Linked DNA regions of Lytechinus pictus. The protein of the gene in region 1 interacts with the protein of each later gene in a pairwise test. Links are inferred from orthologs where the notes say so. Each region holds a gene or a part of one and is shown on either strand. Other genes may lie near its edges.

Evidence for each region.
Region 2: the proteins of nuclear receptor subfamily 4 group A member 2-like (region 1) and proteasome subunit alpha type-3-like interact in a two-hybrid assay, tested with the Caenorhabditis elegans proteins (2 studies listed by BioGRID). The link is inferred for Lytechinus pictus from reciprocal best matches to the Caenorhabditis elegans genes nhr-6 and pas-7.

Annotation. Positions count from the first base shown.
Region 1 is NC_087245.1:17,376,799-17,389,533, forward strand, and holds the start of nuclear receptor subfamily 4 group A member 2-like, read left to right. Parts: upstream 1-6,265; 5' UTR 6,266-6,593; intron 6,594-10,876; 5' UTR 10,877-11,084; coding exon 11,085-11,181; intron 11,182-12,057; coding exon 12,058-12,735. UniProt on the Caenorhabditis elegans protein: Transcriptional activator that induces gene expression by binding to the NGFI-B response element (NBRE) 5'-AAAGGTCA-3'. Required for proper morphogenesis of the spermatheca and the spermatheca-uterine valve formation.
Region 2 is NC_087251.1:44,834,523-44,847,586, forward strand, and holds the start of proteasome subunit alpha type-3-like, read left to right. Parts: upstream 1-6,699; 5' UTR 6,700-6,953; coding exon 6,954-6,974; intron 6,975-10,610; coding exon 10,611-10,817; intron 10,818-11,284; coding exon 11,285-11,317; intron 11,318-11,884; coding exon 11,885-11,953; intron 11,954-13,064.

The DNA.
Region 1 (12,735 bases):
ACCGCATACTTAATAAAAGTACGTCTACTGTAGTAAAAAGTGAAAGTACGTTCACAGTCGTGGACTCACTTATCCTCTGCAATGCATTCAACTGCCCCGGTCAAACAGTGTTCCTGCATGCAATCATGCATACTAAGAATATAGTGTGCTTGGCATGAGGTGTGTGTGTGTGTCTATGTGTGCGGGGAGGGTGGGAGAGGGTTGTTTGTATGTTGATGTACATGATGCTTATCAGCGCCGAGGCCAATATATGGAAGTTGTATCGAGGATAGATTGGATCGGGATTCCTTCAGTGTGTAGGCGGCTATCTTTTTAAGGGAGGTTTAACTTAGCGCTCGTGTGTGTATAAAAAAAGTCTCATCTAGTAGCTTAGCTTAGCAATGGAAATTATTCTCAGAGAGATCATTCCATACAATACGATGTGATTAATTTATATAAAACGAGCCAAGGGCGATTTGCCTCAAGATGTTTGATGACCTAATGACAAGAATTAACTCACGAATACAGGAAAGTTAATTTTTAAAAAAACATGGTTTGAGAGAGAAGTGATGGATTTCTCTTCTTCGCAAAGGAATATCATTGATCATTCCTTTTCTGGGGTATTTCTCTTTATCATTATGGATTTGGAGCATTTTTTGACGGATATACCTCTTCTTCTTCTTCTTCAGAACACAATGTAGCTAGCATTGCAAATAATGGTGGATGTTTAAAACTTAAAAGCGGAAAAACAAGCATTCTACAGGCCTATAAGAATATAATTCTCAAGGAATGTATTTTCATCTCCTGCATATTCAACCAGATGACAAACCCGGAAATCCAGATAACAGGTATTTTACAAGAAGATGATATTCCTCCTTTGTAATACTGATACAGGAAATGATAAAGGGAATAATTCTGATGATTTGTTACCCAAGGTTTGAGCATTCGTACCTCTGCCAATGTGTTTGCTTATATCCATCGATGACAAGCGGATCTGTTGAGCATTATTACCCAGGATAAATAGCTTCATCGAGTCACCTTGGATAATTTGTCATGATATGACTCGATTCTAGAGCTTTAAGGATACATGTACTACACACTTTCCCACAAGTGCAAACCGACGGTATAGGTATGTCTAAAACGAGGGTGCCTGGCAATATGTTGAAGGTATTTACCAGCTGTCTCAATGTAGCTGCTTCGATCATTACCTACTGTATGTGCAACACAGCCAAGATGGTCTTCCAACTGGTGTGTGACATAATTAATCTCCCTCGTCCTGAACTCCATTATTCATCAATATTAAGAGAAGGATTTGCCTATACCTTCAAGTAAAAGTCGGTCATTATGAGAGATATGAATATCCTTCTGGCGAGCAAATTGTGAGTCTTGTCCAGGTAGATTTTGTCTAAATACCTGGCTACAAGATTTTTCATGGGAGCAATGCAGCATGACTAACGTTGATATAATACCATGGAAGGTCAATACAAGCGTAAGGAATGAAGTTCTATTTGTTTCAGTTATTAACAAATTGTTTGCTGTAACACCAATTGATGCATCAAAATACATCAAATAGAAATAACATACTGTAATAATTGAAAAGAACAAAAACAAAATGTCATTGAAAATGAGTTAAGAAGTATACATTCAATAAAACAAATTTGAAAGGATTAAGCAAATTACACCCCATTGAACATATGCTATATTGCAATAATTCTATGTTATTTATGATTTCTTGGAAATGATTAAGATGTACATTCTAGTGTAATTATTGTATACCCAGTATTCGGCGCAACTGAAAATCAAATTACTCAAATGCCATTCACATCTCGTTCTTTAAAATATAGTGTCTTTTTAAACATAGTGTCATAAAATGAGTTCTTTCAAGTTTTATTTGAATTTATTTCAAACAATTTTTCTTCACATTTCAGTTCTGTAGAGTTTTAAACGGGTTAAAATGAAATATATGTGTTTCTTGCAGAAATCCATTCACGTGTGCTTGAAAAGTTCGGTTATAACAACAACAAAAAAGAAGTATATGAAGGTGTACTGTGGATGACATCATTTTCTATGATTAAAGAGGAATCAATTTAGTCAACACAATCAAACAAGCCTTCAGTTAACAGAATTAATGACAACTTTCGTGGAAAGTAATAGAATAAGATTGGATAGGTGTTTGATTATGAATAAAACACAAATGAAATATGCGATGGTTCTTCAGATAATGCAGTTTATGTCAGAAAAACATAGATTTAGGGAGGGGGAAATGTAACAATTTGAAATCTATGTCATGAATATACTCTCCAACATAGGTATAGGCTATCGCCTATTTGTCCTGTTTGATCTTGGAAAGGGAAGTGGAATATTAGTTGAAGTAGAAAATTCAACAATCAAATATTTTGATATCAAAATCAAGTTTTATCATGACAATGCAAAAAGATTTCATTGTATGTCCATGTAGATAGCTGGAAAATCAGCTCAACCCTCTCACCCTTGGCATAATTATTGTTAAAAATATTGAATGAAGAAACCACGCAGAGCTATATGCTAGGTCTTCTCTTCATGTAATTTTGTCTTGCCCTAAGTGCACATATTCAAAAATGTTAACGTGTTATATGTGATTATGTGTTGGCCTGGCTAGAAAAATAGGGAAAGTAAACAGATTCTGTTCAAACTAGGCCGTATCATACCTTTCGTTTCGCAAAGGCATGACTGATTTCATTTTCATATAATCCATTCATTAGTACATTTTACAGAGAAATCATACTGTTCCTGTTATATGATATTTACTATTTCGCATCCAGATATCCGGCGATTTATGCCTCGTAAAATCTTACGATACCCCCAACTACTTTATATGCATGGGGAAATATAAAGGCCGTTTTATGCCTTTCATTTCGCATAGAAAGGCATAAATGATTTCAGATATCCATTCATTAGTATATTTTACAGAGAAATCATAATGTTCCTGTTATATGATATTCACTATTTCGCATTCTGAAGTCGGGCGATTCATAAAGTTTTACGATCCCCCAACTACTTTACACAAACATGAGGAAATATATCACGTCACGGTGTATCGTCCTATAGACATCCGTTAATCTCTACCACACCAACGCCCCCATGTCGTTATCAACTCATACTTGTCAGGGAAACCATACAACATTTGAAAGTCGCATTGATAGATTCCTATCCACAATGTATACCGTTATGCATTGACTGCTCTCTGAATTATATATAAAGGCCCAACCGCGAAAACATTTTTCACTTTTTGTTACAACTCCAAGCAGTTGGTGATATCTTCAATATTTTGTTCCATGCCCGCCTCCTAGACTCGCCTTTCGTTCGAATGGGTGCCGTTGGACATGTTGAATGGTAATGTTACTTTTTGTCTTTCATTAGACTTTTTTTAATTCTTCATTTCATTCATGTTGTGATATCATACTTGTTTTTCTTATTTCATCCTTTAATATTTCGACATGTTTATGATATTATTCATGGCTATATTGCTAGAATCCCTGAATTCCTTGTATTCTTACGGGTTTGATAGATTTACAAATTGATTTTGGTGCCTGGGAATAGCCAAAGTGTTGGCAAATTGTATTAAGGCGAATGCTATAGTGGTCTCTAAAAATGGAATTATTGAATATATAAACATTTTGAATCCATAAAGTTTCTTACCTTGAAAATACTTTTTTCCCATTTTCAGCATCTTTCAATAATCTGATACCATATAAGATCAGACATTTAAATTAAAGACAGAACAGCTAGTTAAAAGTTCATGGTTTCATTGTTTTTGTATGTACCTTTCTCAGTGAATAACTTAAATTTCTTGATAAGAACGACTTATCTGCATGGGCGTATATGTTTCGAAACACTTCATAATAATTATAGAAATAAATATAATATATCAAACTTGTAATAAAACAATATTGGTCTCTTCGTTAGAAATCATTTGCTATCATTTCTTTCGCTCGGTCTTCAATTAAATCGATCCCCTTTTGGATTTCTAGGATTTCTTTTAATATACTCAAAATATATGACAACTTTTATATAACGATGAGACCATGCAAGACATTAGAAAAACTGGCAAAGCATTCGTTATTCTTATTGACCTATTCAAGTGATGAAAATATATACAATAATCGCTTAAGATACCAACTTTTCGTTTTGCTTCATTTCCATAACTAGCTTAGTAATCATAGCCGTCATGAATATTAAACTCCAAACGAAGCTATTGGCATATGAGCTGAATTACTCAAAATAAAACATGAACATAAACAAAATTATTGTGTTTTAAGATATTTGTCGAATTCAATCAACACATGCATTTTCGGAGATATGTCGGGTAATACCCTTTACATTGCTTTTAAAAGGAATTACCTCCAAATCGTTAAACTATCCCAGTCAATACCACCGAATGAGATTAAGTTATGGGCTAGATGAATTTACGAGAGTTTTCCGTACATGAAAAATAAATTCTTATGATAATACATTCTTTCCTGAGAAGATATATTTTCAATTCACATTAATAGCTATATCTGTTTTAAAACAAACATCAAATGAAACAAATTGCACTGACAATTGATAATTAAAAATGAAACTTATAAACATGATGAAAGATCAAAAAGATGGATGACGACAATAAGGCTCGTGTAAAAGCTTGCTCTGGATATATATAATGCATTGGATATCCATTTCATAATCACTTTCTTCAGTGATTGTTTTCAAAAGGCGCCATAATTCGTGTAATATTTGACTCTTATTTAACAACGGTATTACATTCCTTTTTTTTAATGTCCAATATCACCCTTACGGATTAAAATATAGCGTTTACTGTGAACGAGATATTAGATGCATTAGATAAGATAGTGAAAAAGTAAACGAACAAAAGATACGAAAGATATATATCATAGAGCTATAATGTTATCTCGTCATTTGAAATGATCGAAGGGTGACTATATGCTTTGCGATTACCAGAGATGAATATTTTTAAAATACTGTATTCAGAACGAAAATGGTTACACTCGGAGAAATAAGGAGTTCCTAACACAAGGGTGATCATCTACTATTTCAAAACTGTGTTCCCTCTTCAGACATTTTACCCCCTTTTATGATTGTATTTTAGAATATTAACATTTGTAAAATCCTGGATGTAGTTTGAATTTAAAGTTTACTATTAATGATATTAGCAAGATGAAAATCGTGCATTGTCTTACAAAAACAAGGCATTACATTATGAAGAGGGAAAGAATAGAAACCATACGATTCCTAGGTGACACAATAACTAAAATGTATGGCTTCAGAATTATCTTGGCTGTCAATCGAATACATACAATAATTTCATAAAAACATTGCAGGCTTCAAAGTTTATTTGTTGTTATGTATTGGAAAGTGCGTTGTTATTAATATCAAATAAGTGAATCTTATTACGGGGGTGATTCCAGAGTTAACATGACTATTTTCACTCATTTTGAGATAACATTACTCCTTTTTATCGCAAACTCACTCTTAAAAATCACTTCTTAGAGAGTGAACATAGAGACAAATCAGTATTTTCTATTTGTACATCCCAAATATTTGAAGTTGTTTTATTAACGAAAATTTGATATTCCTTTAAGATTGGATTATTTGCCCCCCAAAAATCAAAACAAACATAAATTATGAATAAAAAAACTGAATTTTTCAAGAACACTACGCTTTTAGGATATCTTTCTTTCATTTTTTTATTATAACACCGACTGATAACATACTCTTCTGTTTTACTGAGGTCTTTAACGAATTTGCAAATACAAGATGTTGTTTTCCGTGAAAAGATGTTCAGGGATGAAAGATTATAAAATGTATTATTTGATGATCAAAAAGAATGATTTTTCATAGCGGCATCAACATTTTTATTTTCAATTCGTTAGAATAAAAACTTGTCCTTAGAAATGATCAAGAGAAGCGAACGCCATCTGCATCGCACACTAGCACACTGTAAGGCACACACTCCTATATATCCATATACGAAGTGTATACATCTCCCAACGCTCCCTCCATCTACCTCAGTAAAGGGGCTGAGTTTATTTATAGCGCCGCTATTTGCGGAGAACTGTACGACAACGTCGATTCTGACGTCATACGAGGGTAACCCTCGAACCCTTGTGACGTCAAGGCGAGCGGCTTACACGCACAAACCTGTATGATGGTGCAGTCCCAGGTCCGCTTCTAACGAAGCGTACACCAGCGCTTTGCTGATGTCATAGCTTCTCAATTCGATATGAGGCTCGCCCGAGTAGGGGTTTATACTTTTGTCGCAGAGAAGCAGTGCGTTTCACTCTTGCTTGCTTGTGCCACCAACCAGCATCGTTTCTTCAGTCTTCGTACTCGTCAATGAGACTGAGAACGAGGAGGAGGGCCCGGTGTTTGGGTTTACAGCAAACATAAACAAGCAATCATCATCACTTTTTTGCAGTTTAGTCAACTGTGAAAGTTTTCCACTTTGTTTGACATCTTCCAAGTATTTTACTACTTTTTATACTGGAACACAATTTGTCGTCTGCTACAAGATTGTTTTACCCATCACAGTGTGGTGAAATAAGATCTTGAGAATATTTTTGTACTTCCTGACTCAGGTAAGAATGGATAGATTCTTATCAAATCCTTATTCGTTTCATCGTTTTACCTTGTGTGTCATAAAATAAGATTTTAGAGAATATGACCTTGTACAATAGGATCATAATAGAGAGGAATAACGGTTCACTTGGAGGTGTTATCTTATGTTCTGATCGGACATTGTGAACGTATTTGTATGTCTTCTATCATATTTGTAATAGTTTGTTTTATAGGCGGTTGCTGCTGATTACGAATATATCTCAGTATTTCATTTATACTTTCCCCATAAATCGGAATTTTCCTTGTGCGCTAACATACTTTGGGAAACTTTTTCTTTCAGAACTCGAGTGTTTATCATCTTTTTTATCAATGTTGGTTAATGAAAAAATACATTCTTTTACATTCTTTGCAAACCTCAGTTGGAATTATCACTTTTGACTAGTGTTTTTCACTCGATAAAAATATGCAATTATTTTTCACTTCAAAGTTTCAATTCGTTGGTTGTTATCAGAGAGTATGTGGGTGAAAGTGCCTGTGCGTGAGACTGCGGGTGTGCATGCCTTTGTGCGTGAGAGCGTCTGCGACTGCATATTCATGAGAAAGTCTACTTCTATATTCACAATATTTTTCTTATTACACTAATAAATAAAGTCAAGTAAATGAAGTCGATTTTACAATGAAGAAAATTCATTAACTAATGATTACTTCTGTTTATAGAGGAATATCTTCATTCATTTCCATGTATATCTTTATCCAAAGTGCATAGAGACTTAACTATAGCGTTTTGATGTGTGCTATATAAATACATTTTATTATTGTTTTCCCTAAAAACACGAAGCCTTCGTGGTATATACTTAATAGTTTATCGTGTTTGTAACAGAATAGTTGATATTTCTTCATCTCAGCCAACCTGTTTCGGGTTTTTAAAGTTTATTTTAGAGCTTATATAAAAATCTCAATATTGCCGAATTGTCAAAATGGCTCCTGATTTTAGGTATGACGGTATATATATATATATATATATATATATATATGTGTGTGTGTGTGTGTGTGTGTGTGTGTGTGTGTGTTAGTTCATATGCACATACACTGACTAATAACGTATACATATCATATTTACATAGAAGTGACGGGTAGCAGTATAGGCTAATATCATTAACCACCGGGCCTCATATAAGCTGGCTGCACATACTTGGAATATTTTCCGCATCTAATTGAAGCCGACACGCCATGGCCAACGGCAGGCCTGTGCATGGTTGTTGCGATTACTGGCTTCTCATATGCAGTTCTCTTTATTACACTTAATTAAAACTAAATATATGGAGTAGGTGAATATCGAACCAACTTCATTTTGCATTAGGCCTCATATTCGCTAAGACTACAGAAAAAAATGTATACAGTATATTATTTCACATTGTGTATTTATGTGAAATAATATCTTCTGGCTTTTTTTTATGAGAAACAATAATGGCATAGTACACATTGTTATGATGCTGACACCACCTACGCTGCAAAAACACCAGCATGGTATCTATATCGGTCCACACCAGAGGTGTTGAAAAAACACCGGTTTGGCGTTAGGCTAACACCAATTTGGCATTTAAGCAACACCAATTAGTGTTAAACCAATATCGATTTGATGCTTAACTGGTGTTGTTTCAAACGCTTCTCTGGTGTGGACCGATATAGATACTGGGGTGGTGTTAAATCAACACCGGTATTTTTGCAGTGTATAATTTACACAGTACTATAATATTCAGAAAAAGGATCATCCATCTCTATATTGATGATATTGACCTAGTTGGTTTTCCTTTGCAATTATTAACCTCACGAAACTGACATAGATCATAGTATGTTTGCACTTTAAAAAAAAATATTCCATATTCAATATATAATCAGATTCCATTATAAAACAGATACATACATCCCTTTCTTATACGTTTTACTATGCTAGGAGTATCGGTAAATCCTACAACAATATTAGTACGTAAGTACCGCGGCGCCATGTAATGGTAAGGCATCTAGCAATCTCTGTACATTATGCGCGCAGTGGGAGGTACCTGTCCACCTCAATAGTCTTCAATGTAGGGGTTGGGTATGGCAATGTACTATCACCAATGCATTCAATGCAAGCTTTATACATCTTCATATCAAGGCGAGCGGACAGACTCCGGGGTATTCATAATATACGGATATAAGACGAAATAAGATGGAACGGCCGCTCAATTTTCATCATCAAAATTCTCAATATATCGGGTAGTAGACATGGCTTCACTTCAAGTATGTAATATTTCTTTTGCTATCATCTGGGGTAGATTAAGAATTGTCCACTTGTTTTTTGTGTTTTTATTTCGTTCCCACCAACGTGGCCATATTTCTGTTTTCTATCGCAACCTATTACAGACAATTATGGATGGATGTTTATTGTGAAGCATGCAAACACTTTGCCCCGCCTTAGCTTCCAGAAATCCAATAGCAAATTCAGTGGATGAGAGGGTAGCGCGATTTGCGTAAGCATCCTGTGTATATGTACTCAGCATACATCAATTTTGGTAGCCACTTCAGGGGCGAATTTTCAAGTGTTTAATCGTTTTACTCTCTTTCCTATATCTCCCCAATATATGTGGGGGTAAATCTCCAGAGCTCAAATAAAAGGCGCTTATTGTGAATATGATTTGCCGCCTTCATACCAAAGAATCTGAAGTGGATATCAAAATTAAACATCTCTACCGTTACGTTTACCTCTACCGATCCATCAAAACTTAAAGATAAACTCTTTCAAGTATATAAGTTTGCATGAAGTTGGATAAATGTACACACATCATCACCATAAAGAGAGAAAAGAGTGTGTTTGCCTCTGTATTGTACAGCTAAATGAATGAATGGAGCAGGGGGGGGGGGGTGAGTCAAATCGTAACCCGTAACATTATAACCCGAAATCTAGGTACACAATTGCAACTTATTTGGTAAGAAGAATCCAACCAACGATTTCACAGACATACTACGTTTTATTTTTTTAAAGCTGGATGGCAACATTTCAATGTTTAAACTTTCTTTCGAGGGACAAATTTGCTACCAAAAAGACCCCATTTTACCCTTTTTTGTACACAGTCATGAGATGAAACACGCTTTGTTTGCGTTATTAATATAATAAAAAGTCATAAGTACAGTATATTTAGAAGCTTACGTCAGTTATCATATATCCCCTCGAGTATTCACTAATTCATCCATGTAGGCCAAAATGAGTGAATGGTTTTAGTATATACCAGTGATCGTAAGAATACACCCACGTCATTGCATGGTAAATCAGATTTTCCTTTTGATATATTCTATTTACGTCGCCTCGATGAAGCGAACGGAGTTACGACTTCGTTGACTGCAATTATCTGCATTTTTATTAAGATGTCTCAAAACATGTTGGCCGCAATCGTTCTCTCTCTCTTTTTTTTTCTCTCTCTCTGTTTCTATCTTTATTCGAAGTATGTCGGACAGCAAATCCTTGCATACATTGTCACAAGTCTACAATTTGATCGTTAACATCTCTTTCATGGAATGGAATTCTACCTCTGATTATTGATACTGAAGTCCAAATACATATTCTTTCACGGAAAGTCCACATTGTCATTGAATGTTTTCCAAATAAGAATAAAAACAATGCCAACAAAGTAAATGAATGATGATCGATTTCTGTTTAGCGGGAAACATAGCAATGTCTCTATTTCTTGAGCTAATTAACAATTTAGAATAAAATTATCTTTTAATTCATGTGACATTTTAAATATATTTCCCCATTGTGAATCTATTTGTTGGACGTTTCCAAGAAACTGGAAATGATTAACCCAAGTGTGGGCACTTTCTAATTTCCTTAAACCAGACCTATGAGTCAAATGTTGTTATTCAAAATATTGAAAAAGGTTGTTGAAATTAAGTTTCATTTTGGAAACAATTCAGGAAGTTCTTAAAATAATAGTTTTACTGGTCTGGTACTTGGGTAGGCGATAGGAAGCGATAGGATAATGTCCGTCAACAACCCTCCCACCAATTATTGATGGTGGATATTTAATGTGTCCCCACCTTTTGATATACATCAGCATATATGAAGCATATCACACTTGACAATAATTGGGGGTTTTAGAATGTGGAAGTGAAAAAAGGGAAAACACAGGCACGCCTGTAATGATACTACTGCAATCTACTGCAATATCCCAATGATAATGTGCATTTGTGTTTCAATATGAACATGTAACGGTTGGACACAGTGGTTATAATGTGCCTTCAAATCTGTGCATACAACACAATACAGGCCTTTGGGAGCAGACGATATCACAGTGAATGCCGGGTGCTTCTCTTGGGTTTGCTGAGATTTGGTGACGTCACATCAGATTTAACCAATTAAAAAACGGAAGCCGTGCTTAAAGCGGGAATCTTCTGTGTTGCATCCAAGTACGGCAGCCCTTTAAACGGCGTCGCAAAGAGACTTCAAGGGGCGCTACCAATACCCGAGATTGACCATGATGCTGGTAGGCGCACCCACTTCCTTTGGGACCGGGTACCCTCATGTCAATGGCTACCCAACCTATCCTTTTGATGACTTCGAAGCCTATTCAGGTGCTTACCTCAATATTAATCATCCTAAGTGTTCAACACCCATCGTCTTGATCATTGTCTGTAAATACAATGTTGTCGAGACACTGATCCGTTAATTTCATTTAGTTTTCTTTTCATGAACAGTGCAACTAGAGTGCTCAAATTCTTGTTTGTCTCTTAACTTATGTGAAATAACAATTCACCCCCTTCTCTCTCTCTCTCATCCTCTCTCTTTCTCTCTCTCTTCTATCAACTTTTTTTTATTTTGGCGTTTTTCTCAAATGAAAATACCTCCTCAGTCGATATTACCGTTAAATTGACAATGAAAATTATCGCAAAAAAACCGCAAAAATAATTAACCGAATCGTCAGACAATTTTCACACCTTTTCATGTATATGCATAGTTCTGTTATGGAATGCTGTGATCAACCATTTTTTCATGTTGCCTTAATATCATCGTGTCATCACTGCATGAAATACATGTACAAAAGAAAAACACTAGAATGCATGAAAGTTATCATGGTATTCATTGCAAGTGCCTGTTTTCATTTGTTCGTTTACATGTAATTCATTTATTAGTATCAATTGTTTGCTATATTCAACTCTTTTTATTTAATTTTAAAGCAGTTAAATTTTGTACTTAAAATTTGAAGCGAAAATAGGATAAGAAATCACTTATGACTCCTTAGAATAATAATATTTCATGATACTTATTTCTACGTGTAATCACTTGGCCTGGGCGACATGTCAGAGAAAATGCCTTATCGATAACTCGAACATGTACATTTATCGAAGCTTTCAATGAATTCTTCGGAAATATTCAAAAATGTATCTCGAAAGTAACATGGAAAACAAAACTTTATTTTAATCATTTATTCTTTCTTCTTTTTATTAAAGGCTACGTCGATCCGAACGCGGGGTCATCCCAGTATAATATACTGGAAACAAAACTGTTTCAGAATTTCACCAGTCCCAATCAACCAGAAGGTAGCCCAGTCAGCCCACCACTCAGTACAGACGGGACTCTCATCTCACAACAGCAGCAGCATCCTCATCCACATCATCATTCACCTCCAAATCAACAAGCAACCCAACCGCATCGACCAGTGCAACATCCACAGTCAGAGGCATCACCACCTCTTCAGCAACCTCAACCTCAATCCCAACAACAATCCCAGCATCGAGTGACACCTCATAATCACCAGCAACATACTCCTCATCAGTCCCCCCAGAGGCAATCTCCCGTTACCCCTATGCCCGCCAGTATGCCCTCTTACACCCCGAAGCAAGACGCATCCTCACCGCCTTGTATTGTTCAAACGCCAGAAACCTTTTCATCGAACTATAGCAGTCCTCCGGTTTGCACTTCCACCAGTAGCAGATTGCCGAACTTTCAGGACTGTTTTGGTCCCCCAGGATTGAGGCCGAACTACGAAGAACATTCGCCAGAGTTTCCCCCGTTCAGTTCAATGACGGAGTTTCTCCCAAGTGCAACCCAACCTGAAACTTACGACAGGGAGTATCCACTTCCTGCGATCCCTTCTATGTCTGAACACATAGCTTACCAACATGCAT
Region 2 (13,064 bases), on another chromosome or scaffold:
GAATTTTGAAAAAAGTCTTGAGCAAAGATGATGTATTTATCTGCTTATAAGTGTCTGGATATCAGACCCCCATCCTGTAAGTTTAATATGCAACCAGTCTGTTAGTTCGCCATCAGCAAATCAATTGCTGTATCGCTCATCTGTTACTCTGACCGTATTGGTTTTTTGAATTATTGGCAGTGTTAAAGAAGGATGTCTTGTGACATTTGATATTAATCCTTGAATGTTACAGCATTTGGAAAAAGATCCAGCAAAAGAAGGACTTTAGTGCAGTCATAGTTTGACTTGCTTGCTTCTCATTTGGTCCTTACTGTCCGAATATTAGCAGCCAAGTTTGCTTGGATGACGGTTTGAGAAGCCCCTACTCTGCAATCAAAGTGTTCCAATCTGCTGTTTGATGCAAGTTACCAATAGTTGACCAGTATCAAATTGGAGTTTAAATTACATATCATAGGCCTACCATTTTGAAAGAAGGGGTGATAGTTGTTATCAAAATAAGAGGGGTGGCATACTAAAGAAGATCTCGGTGCACGGAGAGGCTTTAATTACCCTAAAAATAATTAAATTTGATGCCTGTTTTCATTAAATTTCCTGATTCCCACAAGACTGATTGTTTTCCTTAACGATGGAACCTCAGATTCAATCATCGTGCTGACAATTCTAACTGCTGCCTACACCACCTACATCTACCTGCCATCTCACTGTACCATGGTACTTGGATACCTTGGGTTGCTTGATGCCGCCTCTCCAACAACATGACAGAAGATTGGATATGTGGGACTGGTAACAAGATGGCCGAGGATGAGATGCATTTGATTACAGACTCTGAGGGGTTTATTATGTCATGAAGAGGCTTAATGCTGATGGATGACGTTAGTGTTTCATGAAAGGACTTGTCGAAATGTTCTATCCGTTATGTCCGACAGTTGCCATAGGAACTGTGCTTCTCAGCCAATCATTATCAAGGGAAGTTGGCAGATCTGACAACTTGGTCGGGCGGAAAGTGTTGATGAAATCAGCAGCTGCTCTCAAGTGCGACTGTGTTCTCCAAGAAATAGCTTACTGAATCTCCAATGAAATATGTTTCATAGCCTCACTCACCGGATCGGAAAATGCATTGCTTAACGCTTATTGTGTCAACTCTTTTTTAGAATTCAATATTTTCAAACGAAAAGAAAGAAACAAAATTCCAAAAGGTACTTCCTCTTCTTTCCTCGCAATGTACAATTTTAGAAGATAGCCGTCTTTCTTTCACCATCCCCCTTTGCTTGCTTTGAACTGTTTGTTTTCCAGTATAAATATCAAGTTCTTTTCCAAGAAATTTTTTTGTAGGGCTCTAGGCTAGAATGGGCTGTCTTTCTAATAAAATTCCAAGATGCTTCCTTATTCTTAGTTATGAATGTAATTTACCTTTCAGGCCTCTCCTGTAATGAATGTCATGATATTATTATAATTGTGTAAACGTATTGACCAGGGGCTCATTGCATAAAAGTCTTCATTATGGTTGCCCCGGGGACCTCGACACGTCTTAAGACAGTGTCGAGTACACTGTACACAGTACGTGTTCGGGCTGCCGCAGTAATCATTATGGTAACTTGGCCATGCGATTTTAACTTGCATCATACATGTAGAATCATTGATTTTGATTAGCTGCTGATCAGTGTTACCATGGTACATGTAGTTACCATTGGAGGGCAATTTTACCATATTTGTAGTAAGTTTTATGCAACAGGGCCCTGGGCTGGTATTCAATTTGATACCTCCGCCATAATTTTAAATATTTTACTCAGTGTCTTGCTTAATTAAAATAGTTTTAAATAGGGCTTCAGCCTTATAGTTATAAATATGCTTCAGAATGGAGGCCTGGCTCTGAGGTCAGTAGTGCACATGCAGTCCTCCCTGGATGCTCACGGTGCTATCCTAGCAACAGTTCTACATGTAGTAATAATGGAGAGTGCAGACTGAAACACAGCACCGACTATAAATTGTAGTACTGCTAATTCTTCCTTTAAAACAAAAATTTTCCTTTGTTTAAACAATACTGGGGCCCGATGCAGAAACAGTTGCGTTTAAACGTTACGTAAGCCAAAAAATCAATCGCAAGTTCCAAATGCACGCTGGTTGAAAATCAAGTTGCGCATGATTTTTATAGTTGCGATTGATTGCAACTCTTTCTGCAATGCGCCCGTGAACATGTACCTGTACGGTACCTTTTAGTTTTCTCAATGATATCCATTTGACCATGTGAAGACCTAGATATTGATGATTACATGAAATATCTTTCAAAAGTTAGCGAGTTTTAATAGAATGAAAATTGTACTAGGTCTGATGAAAAGTGCAATTTGGATTCTAGTGCGATACATCTTTTTATATAAAATAAGGGGTAAATTATGGGTACATATTTGGATATTCCAAAATATATGTCCTTGTTGAAGAGAGTGAGAGGTGAATGGTTTTTTTTTTACAAAGTGACTGTGGTTGTCCATTTGGACTTTCACAGTGAATAGAATGTTTTCTTCCAAGTCTCTATGCCGTATGAAGTGTAATGAATCCATGATGCATACAAGTACAGTTGTATGTGAATGAAGGTCATTTGCAGGATGTTGAGATCTTATAGTTATAATTCTGTTTTATTTCTTGTTCCTTTTTATGGTAATGGTAACGCAAGACATTTCTTATATTGCTTTGTGATTCGACAGGGCTTTTTATGTTCAGGAGATATTTTGGGCCTCATTTCTCTGACTAGCAAATTTATTTAAATTATTTTTTTTTTGTAATTTGCATACTATGGCAAATTGCTGTAAACAGATTGAGAAATCATTATAAGAAATTATAATACACAGCGAGGGATTTTTAGTTCTAAGTTCCATATTGCTTACAAGGTGAACGGCTATCGGTATATCAATATAAAAGTTTCAACTTGCAGATTGATATTCTTAGAAAAGGGACTCGTGCTTTTCTGATTTTCATCTGGAAACAGTGGAAATATTTTTTTTTTTAAGAATTCATTAACAGCTATTTGCCACACTGTTAAACTCCTACTCTTTTATGTCTAAATACTGGTACCTGTCAACTGACTCAGTAGCAAAGACATTCTTCCATCTTGAAAGCTTTTAGAGGTCTCTGGGTCATACACGGAGCAACACATAACGCATGCAAAGTGATATCCTTTTAACTTAATATCCCAGTTTAGCTCGTTGCAAGAGCTTCTTTAGGGATTTCTTCTACAAGGATCAAGGTATTTAAGTACTGGTATTCTCACTCTTAAAATGGTATCTTCAGGCGTGTAGAATGTAAATTTTAACAAGGTCTTATGTTAAATTAAACTTGTCAACGTGTAGTGTAAATCTTCAGGATGCGATGCAAACAAAAAGAATTGAATGCAAATTCATAATGCCCTTGTACGAGATTTAATTGTAAATGTATCGTATCATGCATTTATTATTAATTGATGAACAATAATTCATTTGGATTAATGACATCTGAAATACATATGGAAACATTTTCTTTTTTATTTCTCAAATTTCTTGCATTTGAAAGACGGATGTCAGCTACATGTAATAATACAAAATAGTATATTTTTGTTGTTGTCAATGAAGTTTTTCATTATGTTTGGGTACTGGTTATAATTGATTTATGAGATACTTGAATGTGTATTTATAATAAATTTTCATATGACAAGGAAAATATCTTGTTTGTTTCTTTTTTGTTGTTTCTTAAATTACATCCAGATATTGATTTTTTAAATAAATGTATCTATTAAAAAAATGTTTTTTTTTCTTATCATGTATTCCACTCTTGTTGTGTGTGTGTGTGAGGGTGTATGTGTAACTGATTTCATTGTTTTCTTTTAAGATATATATGATTCATTTTTATATTAAGTTAGTGAAAAAAAAGTAAAAATATAAAATGTAAAGTATTATATGTGATTTGAAATGTTAAATTGAAATGTTATGTAACTATTTGTTCATGAAATCATAATAAAAACAGTATTAAAAAAAATGTATGTGTACTCGGTCTCCCTTCTCCTTTCCCATCGTTATCTGTCTCTCTCCCCCTGTCTTTCTGCCTTCTCCCCTCCCTCCATCCATTCCCACCCCCCTCTCTTTAATTGGTAACTTAAAATGCTAATGAGATCATGTGTCCCCTCCCCCTTCTCTCTCTCTCTCATTTAAATTATGTTTAGATCACTTGGTGAAGAGTTGGAAAACCATCCCGTGTAAAGACCTTGCATTTTCATCAAAGGGAGAAATCCTCCCGATTTTTGGTTGGTTCTGACCTAAGTAAAACGAGAGAAACTTGTAGAGTGTTTGGCATTAGCTTTTTACCACATTGTTAAAATCCTGCTTGTTTTTATGTCTTATACTCTGCTTGAATGTGATTTTAGTTTTTGAATTTTAATTTAATGTGATTTTACTTAAGTAAATATTTGTAGTTAAGTATATAGTTTTAAGTTTTTTGTGTGTAAATTGTTATTTATATGTATTTGTTTTTTATCGTGCAGGGCCCCTTGGTAGAGCAGTTTTGTAACTGAAAGGGCTACCCTGCTGAAATAAAACGGAAATAAATAAATATTTAATTACCGGTACTTGTAAACTGACTAGGTAACAAAGAAGAATTGTCTTGCATTTCTTTCTCCGATTTCTGGTTCTTTTGACGGTCGGTAATGTTCTCAAAGGACAATGACTTGGTCCCGGACTTGGTCAGTTTATGAAGTGGCTTGAGAAAAATGTCTTGTATTTAAATATTTTTTTCAGGACAGTGTAGTTTTTGTCTCGCCTGCATAGCAGAGCGAGACTATAGGCGCCGCTTTTCCGACGGCGGCGGCGGCGTCAACAACATCAAATCTTCACCCAAGGTTCTGGTTTTGAAATGACATCATAACTGAGAAAGTATATGGACCTAGTTCATGAAACTTTGACATAAGGTTAATCAAGTATTAGTGAACATCCTGCACGAGTTTCAGGTCACATGACCAAGGTCAAAGGTCATCTAGGGTCAATGAACTTTGGTCAAGTTGGGGGTATTTGTTGAATTACTATCATAACTTTGAAAATTTATGGATCTAGTTCATGAAACTTGGACATAAGGTTAATCAAGTATTAGTGAACATCCTTCCTGAGTTTTCAGGTCACAAAACCAAGGTCAAAGGTCAGTTAATTGAAAGTTTATGGACAGAGTGAATGAAATGTGGACATGGGTGTAGTTGACAAGTCTTAAGTCACCGTTCAAATGTCATCTATGGTCAATGAACGTGGTTATTATGTCATTATATGAATGGTGTTTTAGTGAATGATTATTTTATAGTAGTTTTCTGTAGCACCGCTGCTATATTAAATCGCGTAATGCAGGCGAGACTGCCAGAGGCGTTCCACTTGTTTAGTTTTTGACGGCACTGCGAATTGTGCTCCCTCATAATTATGTTCTGATACATGATTTTAGCCCTGTTGTTATGATGGATAAATGAATTTTTTTTTTAAATGAAAATCAAGGATACGTCATAGTGGACTTCTTAAAGGGATGGTCCGGGCTGAAAATATTTATATCTTAATACATAGAGTATAATTCACTGAGCAAAATGCCGAAAGTTTCATCAAAATCGGATAAAAAATAATAAAGTTATTGAAGTTTAAACTTTAGCAATATTTTGTGAAAACAGTCGTCATGAATATTCATTAGGTGGGCTGATGATGTCACATCCCCACTTTCCGTTTTCTTATGTTATTACATAAAATCATAATTTTTTCATTATTTCATACTTTTGTGAATAATATGTTTCCCTTATAATGAAATAAGTTGCAGCAATAAATATCTAATGCACTAAATCAGTTGTCAATCCAATTTTTCTAGTTCTTGGAGGAAAACAATTCAATAAACCTAATTTCATATAATAAAATACAAAAGAACAAGTGGGGATGTGACATCATCAGCCCACCTAATGAATATTCATGACGACTGTTTTCACAAAATATTGCTAAACTTAAAATTCAATAACTTTGTTATCCGATTTTGCGGATGAAATTTTCGGCATTTTGCTTAGTAAATTCTACTTATTAAGCTATACATATTTTAGCCCGGACCGGACCATATTTAGGTGAGCTTTGTGTATATAAATGGCGCCCAAAAATAAGTCAAATTTTTTTTTGAGGGGCCAGACACGGAGTAAGGGGGAATATATATATCCCTATATCCCCCTTTTTTCTTAGTCGTGATTTTTTTTTACTCTCAAGTCCAATTTCCATTATAGGTTTCCTCTATTCCAATGCCTTACAGTCCGGGTTTTTTTTTTTCTTTCAAAAGAGGGTGTAATCACGGACGGTACAAGACGAGCTTTGAGATGCGAGTTTGGAATAATGAGAAACGAGGAACGAGCCACAGGGATGACGCAGATTGTGAGATAAGATTTGACAATGAAACGATGGTTGGAAAGAGATGAAACAAAAGTATGAGATGAGACATATAGTTGAGCTTTGTGGACTTGGTGTAAATTATAATCCCAGTTTTCTTAGTTACATGAGCAAAACATTTTTTAATTCAAATTCGGGGAAATTTCATAAAAATAAAAACTAAGTGAATTTTGCCTAAACCTATAGCCCCCCTAATTTTTTTCACTGTAAATCTGTAGCGCGAAATATCGTCCCAAGACACCTCATGACTATTTTTCAAGTCTTGCATGACTGTTTTTCAAGTCTCTGGGACGCGGTTTCGAAGTTACGTAACATTTTTAAGTGCATGTCAGACAGAAAATTATTCATAAACTGGGAAAAATGCACTCATTTCGAGCCCGTTTCGAGCAAAAAAGTCGCCTAGATATACCGGTACCGTATCTCGCCCACTGGCCTTGCGCCCTCTGTCGATCTGTTGTAACGTGACTAGCATTTTCTGAGCCGATTCTACATTCTGCGAACAAAACTGACGTCGTTTTATCCAGATTTTGTAGCACTAACATCACTATGAGCTCGATAGGAGCAGGGGTGAGTCGATCTATATATGATTTTAAAAGTTAATTAATGTTTTCATCACCTAGAATAAACAAAGAAGCAAGAATCGACCTTGAACTAGTGCACGATGTATTCAGTGTCTCCTTATTTCGGTCCCACCTGTTTATTTTCTCGTAGGATCAGGGCCCTTATTAATTTCAGTGATAATATCAGTTTTTTATCACTGAAATTAATAAGGGCCCTGATCCTACGAGAAAATAAATAGGTGGTATTATCCTCACAATTAATGTTGTAAATCGGATCAAAAATCAGATCGAAAATCGGATCGGCAGTTAAGCTTCTAAAATCGAAATCGAATCGAAAATCGAATCGGCGATGTTTAAAAACAAAGGAATACATCAAAATGTTGTTCGCGGTCGCGCGCATCTTCCTGACAAAGTCACAAAGACGAATGCATTGGGATGGAAGTCGCCAACATGCGCGATCGTTTTAAAGCCAGGGGTTTTGAGGTGTTATTGCTTTAAAATAAACCGAGTGATTTTTATTAGAAAGATAAACGAAAGACGCATCTTCCGAGCAAAGGCGCAAAGGAAAATAAAATGAAAATATTTCTCATAGATCACAGGTTAATGAACGATCGGCGGGACATCTTTTAGAAGTATTTTTAGGTGCTAGCGATTTAGAATTATTGGAATGATCTCTTACGACGCATCATCTAGTCGCAAGTGCAATTAAAATGAAGTAGAAGACGCAAGCACGCACGATGATTTGAAATATGTTATTAAAATGTTTTGGGTAGCTAGCGTTTTCAAATCAATTTGAAGTTCACGGCGGTGTCCGCTATCACCACGAGGTTGAAAATAAAATGAATATCATCATAAACGATGTAAGAGAGTAACGCAATAAGCTCCGTCAATAGTACAGTTTTTAAAAGTTTATGGCGGGGTCCGCTATCACCACGAGGTTGAAAATAAAATGTATATCATCATAAACGATGTAAGAGAGTAACGCAGTGAGCTCCGTCGGTAATACGACCTTTCAAATTTCACGGCGGCATCCGCTATCACCACGAGGTTGAAAATAAAATGTATATCATCATAAACGATGTAAGAGAGTAACGCAATAAGCTCCGTCAGTAGCACGATCTTTAAAAGTTCACGGCGGGGTCCGCTATCACCACGAGGTTGAAAATAAAATGTAAATCATCATAAACGATGTAAGAGAGTAACGCAGTGAGCTCCGTCGGTAATACGACCTTTCAAAGTTCACGGCGGCATCCGCTATCACCACGAGGTTGAAAATAAAATGTATATCATCTTAAACGATGTAAGAGAGTAACGCAATAAGCTCCGTCAGTAGCACGATCTTTAAAAGTTCACGGCGGGGTCCGCTATCACCACGAGGTTGAAAATAAAATGTAAATCATCATAAACGATGTAAGAGAGTAACGCAGTGAGCTCCGTCGGTAATACGACCTTTCAAAGTTCACGGCGGCATCCGCTATCACCACGAGGTTGAAAATAAAATGTATATCATCTTAAACGATGTAAGAGAGTAACACAATAAGCTCCGTCAGTAGCACGATCTTTAAAAGTTTATGGCGGGGTCCGCTATCACCACGAGGTTGAAAATAAAATGTAAATCATCATAAACGATGTAAGAGAGTAACGCAATGAGCTCCGTCAATAGTACGACCTTTCAAAGTTCACGGCGGCATCCGCTATCACCACGAGGTTGAAAAAAAAATGTATATCATCATAAACGATGTAAGAGAGTAACGCAATAAGCTCCGTCAATAGTACAGTCTTTAAAAGTTTATGGCGGGGTCCGCTATCACCACGAGGTTGAAGAGAAGATTTATATCATTATAAAGGGGGTAAGAGAGTAGCGCAGTGAGCTCCGTCGGTAATACGACCTTTCAAAGTTCACGGCGGCATCCGCTATCACCACGAGGTTGAAAATAAAATGTATATCATCATAAACGATGTAAGAGAGTAACGCAGTGAGCTCCGTCGGTAATACGACCTTTCACAGTTCACGGCGGCTTCCGCTATCACCACGAGGTTGAAAATAAAATGTATATCATCATAAACGATGTAAGAGAGTAACGCAATAAGCTCCGTCAATCGTACAGTCTTTAAAAGTTTATGGCGGGGTCCGCTATCACCACGAGGTTGAAGAGAAGATTTATATCATTATAAAGGGGGTAAGAGAGTAGCGCAGTGAGCTCCGTCGGTAATACGACCTTTCAAAGTTCACGGCGGCTTCCGCTATCACCACGAGGTTGAAAATAAAATGAATATCATCATAAACGATGTAAGAGAGCAACGCAATAAGCTCCGTCAATAGTACAGTCTTTGAAAGTTTATGGCGGGGTCCGCTATCACCACGAGGTTGAAGAGAAGATTTATATCATTATAAAGGGGGTAAGAGAGTAGCGCAGTGAGCTCCGTCGGTAATACGACCTTTCAAAGTTCACGGCGGCATCCGCTATCACCACGAGGTTGAAAATGAAATGTATATAATCATAAACGATGTAAGAGAGTAACGCAGTGAGCTCCGTCGGTAATACGACCTTTCAAAGTTCACGGCGGCATCCGCTATCACCACGAGGTTGAAAATGAAATGTATATAATCATAAACGATGTAAGAGAGTAACGCAGTGAGCTCCGTCGGTAATACGACCTTTCAAAGTTCACGGCGGCATCCGCTATCACCACGAGTTGGAAGAGAAGCGGAACTGCGGAAGAGAAGATATCTATCCTCTTAAACATCGCCATAGATAATACCGCGTCTTTCTCCCTGAATAATGCGACCTCTAAATAGCTAGCACCTCAAAAACAATCTTGAAATATGTTCTGAGCGATCACGCACTGTAACCAGATCTACGCCGATTTTTTATTTTCGATTTTTTCCTTCAAGGGGCATGATCGAAGATCGGCAAGTGATTGCCGATTGTGGTGAAATCGAATGGAATCGGTTGCCGATTGCAAAATCGGTTACAAGCTTACTCACAATACAATTCACTGATTTCTCAACGAAAAGAGATGCAACATGGGCAATAAAAAATACTGAATTTTTTTTAAAATAATTTACTTTTGCTTAAAAATAATTTAGGGCCTACTTTTGCTTGAAATTGCTTTTTGGGGGGCTTTTCTCTATTTGAATGTATACTTCGTATACATTCAAATACTACTAACTTCGTTATGTGTGGAGTCTAATGATACTTTCAATGACAAGATTTTTAACTCACCAATTTTTTTACCTCCTGATTTCCACAACTTCCTGCAACTTATTTATGATGACTTTTTAAATTTAGTACACATGTAGATCTAACAAGTTACTTTGATTTTTGGAATTTAATTTGCATGCTTGTATCAATGTTATAGATCTAATTCATATCATGGACTCTTACTATTCTTCGGTTTCTTGTACATGAATTCAACAAGCTGAGCTGGGGTCCGTTGCAGAAGAGTTGCATTTAAACACAAGTTAAAAAATAAATCGCAAGTCCCAAATGCGCGCTGTTGATTGGTTGAAAATCAAGTTGCGCATGATTTTTAGAGTTGCGATCGGTGCAACGCTTTCTGCAACGGGCCCCTGATCCTACGTTAAATTACAATTTTAGTTTTTAAATGTTTCTCCGTATTTTCATTCTTTTGTCCTCAGTATGATTTATCAGCTTCACAGTTCTCTCCAGATGGGAGGGTGTTCCAGGTGGAGTATGCCATCAAAGCTGTCGAGAACAGTGGCACGGCCGTAGGTCTACGATGCAAAGATGGCATTGTCTTTGGCGTCGAAAAGTTAGTCACATCAAAACTTTATGAGCAGGGCTCCAACAAGAGAATATTTACAGTCGACAGGCATGTTGGAATGGTAAGCTACATCTGGCCTTTATTGAATACAGATCAATCAAGCTTTAGTCCAATCCGAGGCTTTTGTATAATTGATTCTTTTGATATTTGAGCTAAGAAAATACAACTAAGCAAAACGAAACTACCAACACTGATCAAGAGAAACAAATAATATTTCTGAATGGGGGCTTTTTTCCAACATCTTCCCATTCTAATGACATATTTTATCGAAAGCAATCTCTATTTTCTATGGTTAATTAGCAATTTGTAATTTTTGACATTTTTTAAAAGCAAGAATTGCCTTTTGCTGCCAGCAATAGATTCCATCTGAGCTATTCTTTATATAGAATATGTATGCTATGCCTTATATACACCCTTGAAATTGGAATTCGCTACTTATGTATATTTGAAAGGGTGTTTCTTTTTTATAGATTTTAAGTCAACTTTGAAAAGTATGATTACATGTCTCCTCTTTACTTTATTTGACAGGCTGTTGCTGGTCTCATTGCTGATGCAAGGCAGGTGAGTAAATTGCTGCTACTTGTTAATTAAACCAATAGGGTATGCCAATTTGACCCTTTCTTTGCACAAAATTTGCATATATTGCAATTTATGTAACAAAATATTGCTAATTTGACATATTAAGCCATTTGAAGTATATATTTACTCCTACAAATTCAGTGATATTAAAAATTCTGTATCACATTCAGTCATAAAAACAATGAAATATACAAGGAAAAAAGTAATATTTAGAAATTAAATAACTGACTATTAAAACTCAAGTTTGACCCTTTTTTTATAAACTGTAAAGTTGGAAATGCTTTCACTGTGTTTTTTAAATCAACTGATAAAATTATGATTATTCTTTTGATTATTTCTTTTGAACTGCAAGATTCTGGGAGCATTCAATGAAACAAATGGTGATTTTCACTGATAACTGTTATAAGCTACTGAAATCCTGCATCTGATTGGCTGAGAGCAAATTAGTCAGTGAAAACTGCTAACAAGATGCGTCATTAAACACTTCCCAGAAGAATTTCAATGAGCAGTCCACACAATGATATCTACGTTTCTTTTCTTTTTTTTCAGGTTGTTGAGATTGCAAGAGATGAGGCATCAGATTACAGGGCATCCTATGGTACTCCTATTCCTGTTAAAGTAAGTTTCAATTGATTAAGATTAAATGAAACGTTTGGAACAAGATAGCTTGTGTGAAAACAGAAAAATTAAAAAAACAGATCAACAAAAGTTTGAGAAAAATTGAATGAATAATAAAAAAGTTATGAGCATTTGAAGTTTAGATCATTATTATAATTTCTACAATGCGACAAAGATGTGTGATATCACATGTGAACAACTTTCCCATTGCTTTTTTATATATTTCACTTAAAATGCCTCTTAATAATAATAATAATATGTCCATTTATATAGCGCAGTTACTATGTGCATATACTCAACTGCGCTTTTGATACTTGGTATCATATTATTACCCCGGCTGTAGCTGAGCCGCCATATTAATAGGCGCTAAAGCGTTCAAGGAATAAATCCTACCGGGTACCCATTCACCTCACCTGGGTCGAGTGCAGCACAATGTGGATAAATTTCTTGCCGAAGGAAATTACGCCATGGCTGGGATTCGAACCCACGACCCTCTGTTTCAAAGTCCGAAGACTAATCCACTGGGCCACAATGCTCTTTTATCACATCTATCAGTAGATCATTAATTCTTACTATAGAAGGGCTTGTAATACAGATTTTCAAAGAATATATTGTGGATAAATAGTTTGTATCATCATAAGAAAGAGCAAAAGGATACATTTTGGGAGTATATTAGAGTCCATCAAAGGAAAAGTTGTTCACATGTGACATCACACATATCTGTCGCATTGCCAATATGAGGATCTCTATAGCATTAGTGATCGCAATATTCAAATGCTCATAACTTTCTCATTATTTGTCCGATTTTTCTCAAACTTTCTTTGATCTTATTCTTTGTTCCAAGGGTTTCATTCCCCTTTAAAAATGATAATGATAATAATGATGATGATGATGATGATAACAACAACAACAATAATAATAGTATGCAACATTTATGTAGTGCTTAATACAAATGTTTCTAAGCACTGCATACTCTTACCATGGTTTTGGCATGGCTACCCTGATCGGGCGCTCGAGCATTCATGGAATTCCTTCCAACCTGGTACCCATTTACTACACCTGGGTGAAGAGTGGCAAATGTAGATAGATGCCTTTCCAAAGGACGTTAGTG